Arabidopsis thaliana: one gene and its partner. The protein of the gene in region 2 purifies or fractionates together with the protein of the main gene of each other region. This does not show direct contact. Each region holds a gene or a part of one and is shown on either strand. Other genes may lie near its edges.

Region 1 (4,950 bases), 3.9 Mb from region 2:
GTCACAATATTTGGTGAGCCACTATTCTACTTTGACATCCGGAAAGCATGATGTTCTCAATGTTCAAGGTCATGTTTCCCCATCTGAGGTTAGTTTCTTCCTGAATGATATAAGATTCCTCTATAAATACCTACATCAGTTTAATGGTTGTTGTCTTTTTCTTGTGTGGGTGCAGAAACATCCTGGAAGTTTGTTGGAGGGATTTACAAAGACTCAAGTGAGTACACTCGCAGTGAGAGATAAATTTTTAGTTGCCGGTGGATTTCAAGGAGAACTTATATGCAAGGTAAGCTCTAGAGTTTTACAATCATGGATTTTTAGTTTTTCACACAACAATTACATGCATTCTAATCAAGGAACTTCATCTTTTTCCACATTGATTTTATTTTCAGCATCTTGATAGACCTGGTGTGAGCTTTTGTTCACGTACTACTTATGATGATAATGCTATAACCAATGCTATTGAGATTTATAACAAACCCAGGTATTTGCATGTCTTTTGCTTGAGGTTGTATTTGCCAACTTGTCTCTTCTAACTGATTTTTTGATGTCTGTCTGTCTGCAGTGGGGCACTTCATTTTACTGCGTCGAATAATGATTGTGGAGTCAGAGATTTTGATATGGAGAGATACCAGCTTGTTAACCAGTTTCGCTTTCCATGGCCGGTGAATGTAAGTCCCTACTTTTTCCTTGATTTTTTTTTTGTTTTTGTTTTGGTATAAGTTGATCTGTAGTGCTTGTAGCAGTAAGTTTCAGTTACAAATACGTTTTGTAATCTGATATCTTCTTTTACATTACGAAATTGTAAATGTAATTGCACCCCAAATTATTTAACGAAAGGGGGTTTTTGTATTGATAGCACACATCTTTAAGTCCTGATGGTAAATTGTTGACGATTGTGGGAGACAACCCTGAAAGCCTTCTGGTAGACCCCAACACTGGAAAGGTACAGAAACGATCTCTGTGTTACGTATCCCTGAATAAATATGCTTTCTAACTAAATTTGGAATTTTCTACAGACACTGGCAACGCTATCAGGACATCTGGACTTTTCCTTTGCATCAGCATGGCACCCAGATGGATTCACGTTCTCCACAGGTAACCAGGACAAGACCTGCCGGGTTTGGGACATTCGTAACCTGTCAAAATCTGTTGCTGTCTTGAGGGGTAACCTTGGAGCAATCCGATCCATTCGCTACACATCTGATGGGAAGTACATGGCCATGGCTGAGCCGGCTGACTTTGTCCATGTGTATGATGTCTCAAACGGGTATGAAACGGAGCAAGAGATCGACTTCTTTGGGGAGATCTCGGGAATATCATTTAGCCCCGACACAGAAGCACTCTTCATAGGCGTTTGGGACCGCACTTACGGAAGTCTAATTGAGTATAGCCGGCGCCACAACTACTCCTACCTTGATTCATTTCTATGATCACCCGACATACCAGAGGAATAAAAGAGCCGATACATATGTGCTGCTGCACTCTCCTGTCGCTCTGTTAAACTAAGAAACCCGAGAAAAGAGAAAACATAAACTCAAGTCGATCTCTAATGGTGTAAATGATGTGTTGTGCAAGTACTAGTAGGAATGTTGTCACAGAGAGCGGATTTAGTTAGTTAATGTTCATTTCTTGTATGAGTGTTGGAGTTCGTGTATTGTACATAAGTATATGAGGTTCGGGTGAGTTTGCATCAAGTCTCAACTCTTGGCAAAGAGACAACTTTACTCGAGTCTGTGGCTCGTTATTTGGCTATGGTCACTTGTAGAGGAACTCAATTTGAGATGTTTCTGCCGATTGTTGGATCAAATTATATATCATGATGTTTCATAATATTTCTGTTTCCTAGACTATTAAAGTGTATCAATGGTAAGTTTCTCTCTCTCTTCTCTCTTTAATATCTTTTAGAGAAAGCTAAACTTTCCGATCAAACCTTTGCCTTCTGGTTTGATTCGAAGGCTCATGTTCCTCACATAGTGGGCTCGTGTCTGGCATCTCTGACTACTTTAGCGGAGTTGGCTAGCTTTCTTCTGACAGCGATGGCTTCCTTAGCGTCGTCTTGGTCGGCACCACTCCGGAAGCAGTAGCTTACATAGTATCGTCTTGACCGGATTTCGGGTTTGTCTCCGCCGTTGTTATGTTTTTCTTCCAGTTGTTTATTTACTTACAATAAATTTTATTAGGGATGTGTTGATAATATCGATTGAAGCGAATTATCGCTTAATGAAGTGTATTATTCGATGCTTTTACTTTTGAGTTTGCAATTACAGGAATTGATTCATAGCTTTTCAATGAATTATGGACTCTTATTGGCTTTGATCAATTTTTGTAAAATCTGTGCCGCTGTGTTTTTGGAATTCGGGAATCAATTGTCTTTTGGAAGATCCTTTCTTTGCAAATTTGATGATGATGTTTGTTGGGATTCTCTAATTAAAAACCGATGGACTTCTGTGTTTAAAGTTCTAGCTGTTTCCGGTGGCTTTGGAGTTTTCCGGTTGTTGCTGAACAGATCGGCGATGAACGGTGACGAAGAATCATCTATCCACGTCTTCAACTTTATTTGTTAGCATTCCACGTGGCTTTGCAGTCGGGAATTATTTAGCTTACTTCCTTAAAGGATTATGTTTCTCGATTGGGCTTTTCTCGTTGGGCCTATGGTTATAAGTTTGTTGGTTTTAGTTTCATATGTATCAAGACCTGTAATATTGAGTTTTTACAACACAAGTTATAAATAAAATACAAACACTTTATGAGAAAAAAGACTATTAAAGTGTAGATTATGGACTAAATCTTTTAAAAAAAAGATAGTAGGTTCTTCAAAGTGTATCCTACTAAATTACAAGGGTTTGAACGCAAATATTTCTTTGAAAATCTCATAATCCAGAAAGAACCAACGAGAGAATGCCACATCATCCATCCGTAATCGTATCCTCACAAACAAAATCTTCTTCTGCTTCTTCTCCTGCTTGCCAGAATCCAAAACCAAACCTTCAGATCATAAATCCAAAACCACTCATTTTTCTATTACTGAAATTTTTCTTAGAGAAGAAGAAGAAGAAGCAAAATGGCCACAAGCGCATCAGCTTTGCTCTCACCAACCACATTCTCCACTGCAATCTCCCACAAAAACCCTAACTCCATCTCATTCCATGGCCTTCGTCCCCTCCGTCTAGGTGGCTCCTCCTCCGCCCTACCCAAACTATCAACCACCGGGAGAAAATCCTCCTCCGCTGTCGTGAGAGCTGAGCTAAGCCCTTCCATCGTCATAAGTCTCAGCACAGGTCTCTCCCTCTTCCTCGGCCGTTTCGTCTTCTTCAACTTCCAGAGAGAGAACGTAGCAAAACAGGGCTTACCGGAGCAGAACGGAAAAACCCATTTCGAAGCTGGAGATGATCGTGCTAAGGAGTACGTCAGTCTCTTGAAATCGAACGATCCAATTGGATTCAACATTGTTGATGTTCTTGCTTGGGGTTCTATTGGACACATCGTTGCTTACTACATCTTGGCTACTTCCAGCAATGGATACGACCCAAGCTTCTTTGGATGATTCGTTTCAATGTCAATCTCTCGTATATGTATATGTATATGTTTGACTTGTGTTGCAAGCTATCTAATCTGTTCTCTATCTCTGTTTCTTCTTCTGTTGTTGTTGTTGTTGTCTAAGACTTGTCCCTCTTTTTGCAAATGTTTTATTTCTCCATTTACAAAGATTGGTTTGCAGAGTTTTATAAGAAGAACATAATAGTATATACACTATGGAAACAGAGAGATGAAATCACATTTTTACTTGCGCTCAAGATTTCGATTTAGTTTGAGCTAATGTTCGTATGAAAAACTTAGGTGATTTGGTGAAGCTAGTTTCATACCTAAGAGAGAGTCTAGATGTAAGATCTCAGAAAGATAAAGCCAATGTCTCAACAAAAACAGTATGCTCAAAGATAAAGTATACAAAAAGAAAACCAAAAACAAAGACATAAACCTTAAGTTTAGATCAAGTTACGGCTGCAAATAAAAAACCATTGTAATAAAGGAGGGTAGTGTCTATGGAAATGAAAGTTTGAATCCTTATGATTCACATCCTCAATGGAAGAAGACTTGGCATGTTTCTGGACCTTGAAAAGAAAGTGACAACTCCTCGATCATCTCATCTCTTGTTTCTTGAGCATATGTTGTCGGAAAAAAGATTGTCGCAGACTTTAAGCAGCGAGCATTTTTCAAGATATATTTAGCTACATCCATCTGGTTCTGCAGCAATCCATGCATCTCACTCCAACGGAACGTTTCGAGACTGGACAACAAACATGTAGGAACACAATTCAGCTGATTGTCCCACTGATTTGGTAGATCCGTACGCCCATTTGGATGATCCTGTGATCAAACATGAGAAGTTTGGCTTAAACATTATAGTTAATTGAACCAAGAGTATAGGTCTCTAAGGAACAAACTTACTTCTATCACGTAAGCCTCGAGCTCTCGTAAATTGGGAGAGCTTTTGAGTAATCGGGCAAGTAAAATTGACCAATCTGAATCACATGAACATATCTTCAATTGTTCAAGCTGGTTGAAGACAAGACCCTCATGATATAAAGACTGCATAAGATGACAAAAGATTCAACTTCAAGAAAACCTGGTTTATTGTTCAACAATGAGATGGATAGAGTGATGGAAACAGATTACCTCTTCGGTGTAGACTCCCAAGCATAACGAAAGACGCTTAACAGATGTGATTGATCCAAAGAACTTTTTGATATTTTGGAATGTCAATACAAAATCTGCCTCCTCCAACTTAGGCATATCTTCAAAATCGTAGAAGTATCGAGGACTATCACTGTCACTCTCATCATCACTATCACTCTCTAGCCTTTCATCAATGACTTTCAAATACTTCAAAGAAGGAGAATTCATCTTAAGCCCATCAAGATGACAAGGACGAGACATCTTTAGGGTTAG
Region 2 (7,409 bases):
AATAAATAATATATTTTTTGTTTATTAAATAAATAATATTTTAATTTAACTTTTCAAATATTTTCACTTTATAATTTTGTTTACCTATTTGCGGATTCTTAGGTTAAGAAAAAATATTAAATCTAACTAAAAGAGTAAATATTTCAATAATAATTACCAAATTTAAAACGTCCATAAAGATCAACGGTACAAGGTGGCTCTATTAATTTATTTTATATATCTATAGATTCATTCATTTCGATCAACTTCGAAGACAACCGAGCAACTTCATGGGAGAAAGGAAAAGAAACGCAATATCAACATGTCCACACGAAGAAGGAGTTTGTTCCTCAGTCCACACCACTTCCTCCTCTACTGTCGTGGAGAAAACGGATTCGTAGACTCTTACACGTCATCAGTTTCAAAAGCCGGTCTAGAGCATGTCACTTGTCCGCCAAGGTTAAAAGTGAAGATGACTTGAGTAGAAGTTGGTGAAGGCCTTTGTCCCCCACTTAACAGAAACTCTAAGATTAATAACTTCTCAAAATTTACAATAATTTTTTTGTTATAGGTATTCTTCTTGTTCTTTTTCTCTTACATAATTTATACTTAATTATTTGCAACTCTAAGATGAAATCAATATTCGATTCACAACGAAAAAACATTAACCAAACAACAACCTATGTCGTTATTCATTGCAAAACCGATCTACAGAAAGATTAACAATGATCAACGATTAATCATAAGTTATAACTTAATCAATCATTGCCGCTTTTCAAAATGTCAAAAAAAAATTGTATTAAAACAGACAAAAGAAAACTAAAAGAAAGAAACTAAAAGCTTTTCTAAAAGGACATGTAATACATTTGTTTATGGGATTAAAAGGCCCAAGTAATAGAAAAAAAACAATTTTTTTTATCAAGCCTTCTTAATTAATTTTTGAAAAAGCAAAAGTTTATTTAGAAGGCGCATGTAAGAGAACCTCGTTTGCTTAGAGATAGCCGTTGAAATGGCTTGAAAACTCCTCCGTCGCACCACACAAGCGAATCAAGAGAAAGACTTGTCTTATTGGACATTATTTGGAGAGAAAGATTTAAATCTTGGAGACCAAGTACTTTGGTGTATGAAAGTATGTCTATGAAGTCAAGTCCGTGAACTCGAAAGAAAAATTATCTAGATCTTGATATATTGGGATCAATTACGAATAAAGCACTTTCAAGTGTATGTCGTTGTCGAAATAGGCACAAAATCGTGTGTTGATCAAATTTAAGCGCTTTTCCACATGAGCTATTCTATTCTATAATGGAGTATTTGATATGGTAACAGTCGATTTTTGTTGATCAAATTTAAGCGCTTTTCCAGTAGAAATCTTGTAATCTCATCTTCAAAAGAGATCATGGAGAAAATCACCGGAGGAGAAGACATTGAAGACGGCGAAGGAGATGATAATGACGTGGGGTTAGAAGTTTAAACATATTTATTTTTGTTAGAAAGAGCTTTCTATTTTTTGAGTTACGTTTCACATTTTGGGTTTTAAGTTTTTTTTTTCTTTATATAAAATTTTATTTTAAGATTTGATTTGGTTTGATGAAGGAATGATTTTGGAGATTCTTTTGAAAACATGTTTAAGGGTTGGGTACAGGTAAACATAAATTTTAGATGTTTTTGGCTTCTTTTTTATTGGGAAGTTTGATTATGAATTTTACCATTATGAGGAGTATTTGGAACGCTCATGATTTTTAGATCAATTGTTTCGTAAGTTCGATTTTTGGACTGTCCGAAATAGGACAGAGTTGCTGGATTTGCATGGGATACTTTTCTTTTCGTCAACATCGAAGACGTCCTCTAGAATAGAAATTAATATTTACTCTTGCAGTGTATGCTTTAGATCCCGGCTCAATTCATTATGAGACCTATGGCAAAACTCAAAATAAAATAAAATCTCTTAGTAAATGTTTTTTTTTGGAAAAATTGGGGCCTTTTAGTCTTAACAATTTTTTTGAAATTGATTAGTAACCTTGGGCATTTGCCTACCTTGCCACCCCCAGAGACGGCCTGTACGAGCCAGGTACACCAGACGAATGGAGAAAATCACTCTAGGGGAGACGCTACCTTCACTTTTGCAAACTATCTTGTGAAGGTACGCGCGGCCATAAACACTTGCCATTATGTTCTGATTTTTGGGGAACCACTAGAGCAAAAACAACGGCTCCTTCATGATTTACCAAATTAATTTTATAATCTAGATTTTGGAATCAAATAAGTTCCTAACATGTACTTTAACATATTAGTTTTAAATTCTGTTTGATTTATCAAAAAAAAAAACTATGATGAAGCTGTTCTAATTCCACAGTTTTTTTCTGTTAAGAGATGCTAGATGATATCAATCACCTAGTCACTTAGGTGTAATAAAACTATATATAATCAGAAAATTCCAAGTTAAAAACAAAAGGATATAAGTATTACAACAATTTAAGCTGTCCATTTCCTTTTGTCTCAACATGAAGAGAAGGTCACACACTCTCTACTAAATTTAAGTACATGATAATTTAGCTTTCTTCACCATCATCGGTGATGAATTTTCCATTACCAGGATTAATGGCAGCGAAGAAGAAGAAAGCAACGTTTAAGAGGACAAGTGGTTCGATATCTTGAATTGGTATACCGGTCTCAATGTTGAGTTGAGCTAATGCTCCTTTCCCGGTAATAATCTCTCCTATCAGTGAAAATGCTATTCCCAACTGTGCCAATCTTCCTACGAATAACTCGTTCGCCTTCGTGAACCCAAACAATGGACCTTCACACAACAAAACAACAAACATATTCAAATTTATTCAAAACATTAGACCAAGCAACTCTTTAAGTAATCTCATATTTGTATCTTTTTTTCTTTTCAGAAACACTATTTTATTTAAGTTAACGGGAAGAGACTCTCTGCTAGAGAAAGCCATTCAGGAACCAATGTGCTTACATGGGGGAAAAAGATAGAAATTGATAACGATAAATAATCTATCAGGCCAACGATAAATAAATAAACATTTAGAGATTATTTTTGGAGATTGACAGTTCCATGCTAGTATCTTTTGTCTCACATTTGTATCTTAGGATAACGATAAATAAACATAAAGCCGATCCGGACACTACACTTAGGCCAATTCAGTTATACTAGTTACTATAGTACTCTATCAGGTTATATTATTTGCATTGGTTGTTCAGAGCAATGTCATTGTAACAAAGATAGAAATAGAAATGTTGAGAGATACCTTGTTCTTTGAGACCGAGGGCAGATCGGACGTTTTTGCCGGGAGGAATGACGGCTTTCTCGAGCCCGGTGGGAGGATCGTCGACGAATTTTCCTCTGTCTCCGAGAGCTCCAATGGCTCCCAACAGAGTGAACAAGATGAAGAAGAGAAGCAATGGCTCTGCTTCGTAAATCGGTATCCCTGTCTCCAGATTCAGCTGAGCTAATATCCCTTTTCCCGTCAACGCCTCACCAAGCAACGATGCCTATGCATAGAAACACAGCTTTCATACTAAAGCTTCTTTCTTGGAAGATAAGTTAGTGTATTTCATAGAGGGGACTTACAGCGAAACCGATCATAGCAACACGACCAACGAATAGCTCATTCGCCTTTGTGAAACCAATCCCACCAGACGTTCCAAAGATGCCATCCTCAACCTTGCTCTTCGGCTTCTCAACCTAAAATGTATATGAAAATCTTAACATTACCATCAAACACACAAGAAATGTTCCTTGTGGGACAAGTAAAGAGTATGTGAAAACCTTTTTAGGAGCAGCTTTGGTTTTGGGTTTGAAGAGAGCGAGAGGAACGAATGATTGTCTCCTAGATGGTAGTGCAACCGGAGAGTTTCCAGAGAGGAAGAGATGGTGAACTTTGGGCTGAGCCAAAGGGCTCTTGTTCCTCAAAAAATGGCCGGCGGTGACGCCTGAAGTAAGCAGCATGGTTTGAGCCATTCTTTCTGAGGATGAGAGAAGGATCAGTGATGTGTTTTGTGTTGTGTTGTGGAAGTGAAGAGATTAAAAGATATAAGGGAAATCTATTGATGGGCTTAAAGTGCGTCCACGTCTCCCAATTGTCCTTTCCATACTCTCTATGTGGTGAACTGGAGATAACGTTTTTGTGGAGAAAAATAAATCTATCAATATAATAGTTTTTAAAAAATTTAGATACACTTTTTAAAAGTTATACTTATTTAGACAGTAAACAAAAAAACAAAATAAATGTCATATTCAAAGAACCATTTATGACGAACTAATAACTCCTTCTAATAAAAATATAAAATATTTCTTTCAAGAAAATCATATTTTGGAACTAAAATCCAATTTATGTATTGATGTAAATGAATTGTGTCTGGTCAAAACTAAAGAAACATACTCATAGAAGATTCACGTCAAAAGGGTATGTTATACTAGCAAAGTACATACTAATGGAACTGGTACATTAGATATTACAAAAACGAAATGGCTTAATTTTTTTTATAATATGTATATAAATAAGAACACCTATATTGAAAAAATTCACATCAATTACATATTTTGTAAAAAATATTATATTTGAAAAATATCTAATTCTTTTTTAATATAGCCAGAGCCGGGCACAAACACAAGCGGGCTAAACCCAAACTTACGGTCGCAAATAGTATAAAAACAATTTTGGCTTCATATTTTCGTATTTGTTAGGTAGTCTAGTGGTAAAGACTGGTCCGAAAGAATCTTCGACACTTAGGTTCAAATCTTTAGTTTTTTCGGTTTTGTTAAGGGCTGATTGGTTCTCCCTCTACCACCCATAAACGCAGCGTTTGCGGTTGGTAGCGGTTATTAGCGATTGGAACCAATCATAGAAACCGCTAGATATCGCTTTGGACCGCTCAAAATTGCCAATTTTCAAAAGCTCCTTCCCGCAAGCGTTTGCGGTTGCGGGCGGTAGCGGTTAGATTAAAAATAAAAAAATAATCTATTTTTAGTTAATTAAAATAATTGTGGTTTCCACCCAAACCCTAATCACTATAATTAAAATAATCTAATCTTTTATATATCTTATTTTTATTAGAAAACCCTAATCAATATATTGTAACTCTATTCTCTCAATTATGGCATCCGATGAAAATCAAAATCAAGAATCAAACATAAGTATCATCTATCATTTTATTCACTCATTAGCTAGTGTAATTCTTTGACTATTTCATGGCATCATTGTTTTTATTTTATTTTGTATTCTTTTGAGTTTTTTGATTGAATACATGTTTCGATTTGTTTTCTCGATTAGAAAATGTTTTAGTCGGACGAGATGATATATTGTATTTTTATTTGGTCAGAAAATCAATTTTTCTAATATATTATATTTTTATTTCTTTTAATAGTAATATATTATATTTATTTTGGTTATTTTTTATTTAATTACTATCGCACCGGCTGGTTTATCAGTCATAAAACTCCCGCAAACGCACCTATTATCAAACGCTCAACCAGTCGTTCAAAATGCTTGATAACGCTTAAAACCGTGATCGCCCGTTTCCGCAAACTCCCGTAACCGCAACCGCACCCGCTTATAACCTTAAAATAGTTAGGGACGGTAAAAACTTGAATCGAGTAAAAAACATTTGAAACTACAAATACTCGCACAACACTCAGAAAGGAATAATTTTTGGTGTTTAATTAGTTTTCTCGATGAGAGACGTGTTTGAACTTTGGACACGAACACCTCATCTCACATCATGACAAGCGGGTTTAGGCATATTTGTTTTCTTTCTATGAGTCTCATTAAAGTTATAATTTAAACACAAAACATTGTCTTCTACTAAAAAGTTCATTATTTTGTAATTTAAATTGTATCAATTGAACAATCATCATATATATTCAAAATGGACATATAATATTTAAATATCATAAACTTTCATTTTAATTTTAATTATATGTACATACATTAAACCCCTATTTTGAAAACAATTTCACATCAATCACACCTTCTTCTTTTTTTGGGCAACTCACATCAATATACCTTTTAAAAAAAAATATTACATAAAATCCCTAATAGTTTGAGAAAACCTGATTGACTCGATTCGAGTCAAAAATATGTGCGACTTATAAATTGCTCGCAACACTCCGAAAGAGTATATTTGTAGTAACAAGTAAGTGGTGTTTAATTAATTGTCTCCATGTAAGACGTGTTTGAACACGAACTGCTCATTTCACGTTATTACAAAACAAGTGGGCTTAGGCATATACTTTGGGAACAAACCTAATAAGTAAAATAACAATAATGTGACATGTATTTTTGGATGTTTTTACATTTTATTTAATCAATTAGAAAATAGTATTTTTCTCTTTAACATGTTATAGTTTTATGTTGGCGTGTATCTGTTAATGAACTTTCAGATTAATGATTTTCGAGTATAGATTTTATTAATTTCGCTAGGACGCTATGTGATAATTTATACATTATCATAGCAAATAGCCAAATAACATGGTACACATAACATAATATGTCACAAAGAAATACAGTTAACTTACTAGGAAACACATATATTTCTATCTACTGCCGTTTCATTTATCAGAAACGTGGGGACGGAGACATCGGGTAAACATCCTCAAGATATTTCAAAATCTAGAGAACAACTAGCTGTTGATCGAGGACAGACTGGTCCGGCATTTCACCAATTTTTATGATGCATTTGTATTGGGTTTCAAATTTTTGAATCGCATTTTGTTAAGATTTTTGTAAAAAACAATAGACCCCAAAATAAGGGAAAAACCGACGCATAGATCAAATCTTTAAGTTCAAGTTCGATTCTAATCCATAAGGCTCTATAACTTAGCGTTTGCATAGTTATAACACAATATTCATTTGTGAGTTAGGTTCAAGCAATTATACGAAATTATGCTAAGTATAAAATACCTAAGATCATGTATTAGGTGGTGTGCGAGACATACATGCATTAAGATCAAACTCAACTAGAAAGAATAGTATAAACGATCAAACAAAATCATAGAAACTGCCAACCTAAACCAGATTTAACATCCCCATGAATCCCTTTTGAAACTCCCTCAAACCCAACTAGTGATCTACTAGCTCATGGCAAAAGAGCGAATTAAAAGTTGGGTTGAGTAAACCATAAGAAAAAGAAGAATAAGTCTTAAAAAGGGTTTAGAGATTACTTTTTTGAATGTAAAATACAAGAGGCAAAGCTCCACCTTAGAGAATCTTATACAAAATGAGAGAGAGAGAGAGAGAGAGAGAGAGAGAGAGAGAGAGAGAGAGAGAGAGAGAGAGAGAGAGAGAGAGAGAGAGAGAGAGAGAGAGAGAGAGAGAGTTGGTGTTCTTCGAGCTTGAAGGTGCGGTGGCGAGTTAGCAGCTCTCGGTGTCGGCGGCAGCTAGGGTTTGCTTGTTGTGAAGACGCACCTACGGTTC

Evidence for each region.
Region 1: the proteins of NPQ4 (region 2) and PSAG fractionate together in Arabidopsis thaliana (co-fractionation; one large-scale study listed by BioGRID). This does not show direct contact.

Annotation. Positions count from the first base shown.
Region 1 is NC_003070.9:20,801,471-20,806,420, reverse strand, and holds PSAG (photosystem I subunit G), read left to right. Parts: upstream 1-2,971; 5' UTR 2,972-3,039; coding exon of another isoform or gene 3,040-3,064; coding exon 3,065-3,547; 3' UTR 3,548-3,751; downstream 3,752-4,950. Other genes in the region: AT1G55680 (Transducin/WD40 repeat-like superfamily protein), read left to right, coding at 1-88, 176-286, 393-484, 566-671, 860-946, 1,020-1,433; AT1G55675 (uncharacterized protein), read left to right, coding at 2,241-2,567; AT1G55673 (uncharacterized protein), read right to left, coding at 3,040-3,450; AT1G55660 (FBD, F-box and Leucine Rich Repeat domains containing protein), read right to left, coding at 4,081-4,368, 4,450-4,590, 4,678-4,950. UniProt on the Arabidopsis thaliana protein: Not yet known.
Region 2 is NC_003070.9:16,868,314-16,875,722, reverse strand, and holds NPQ4 (Chlorophyll A-B binding family protein), read right to left. Parts: upstream 5,503-7,409; 5' UTR 5,449-5,502; intron 4,213-5,448; exon of another isoform or gene 4,105-4,212; 5' UTR 3,956-4,104; coding exon 3,764-3,955; intron 3,680-3,763; coding exon 3,566-3,679; intron 3,487-3,565; coding exon 3,243-3,486; coding exon of another isoform or gene 3,175-3,242; exon of another isoform or gene 2,777-3,174; coding exon 2,529-2,776; 3' UTR 2,299-2,528; downstream 1-2,298. Other genes in the region: AT1G44608 (uncharacterized protein), read left to right, coding at 227-474. UniProt on the Arabidopsis thaliana protein: Plays an important role in non-photochemical quenching (NPQ), a process maintains the balance between dissipation and utilization of light energy to minimize generation of oxidizing molecules, thereby protecting the plant against photo-oxidative damage; acts upstream of DLDG1.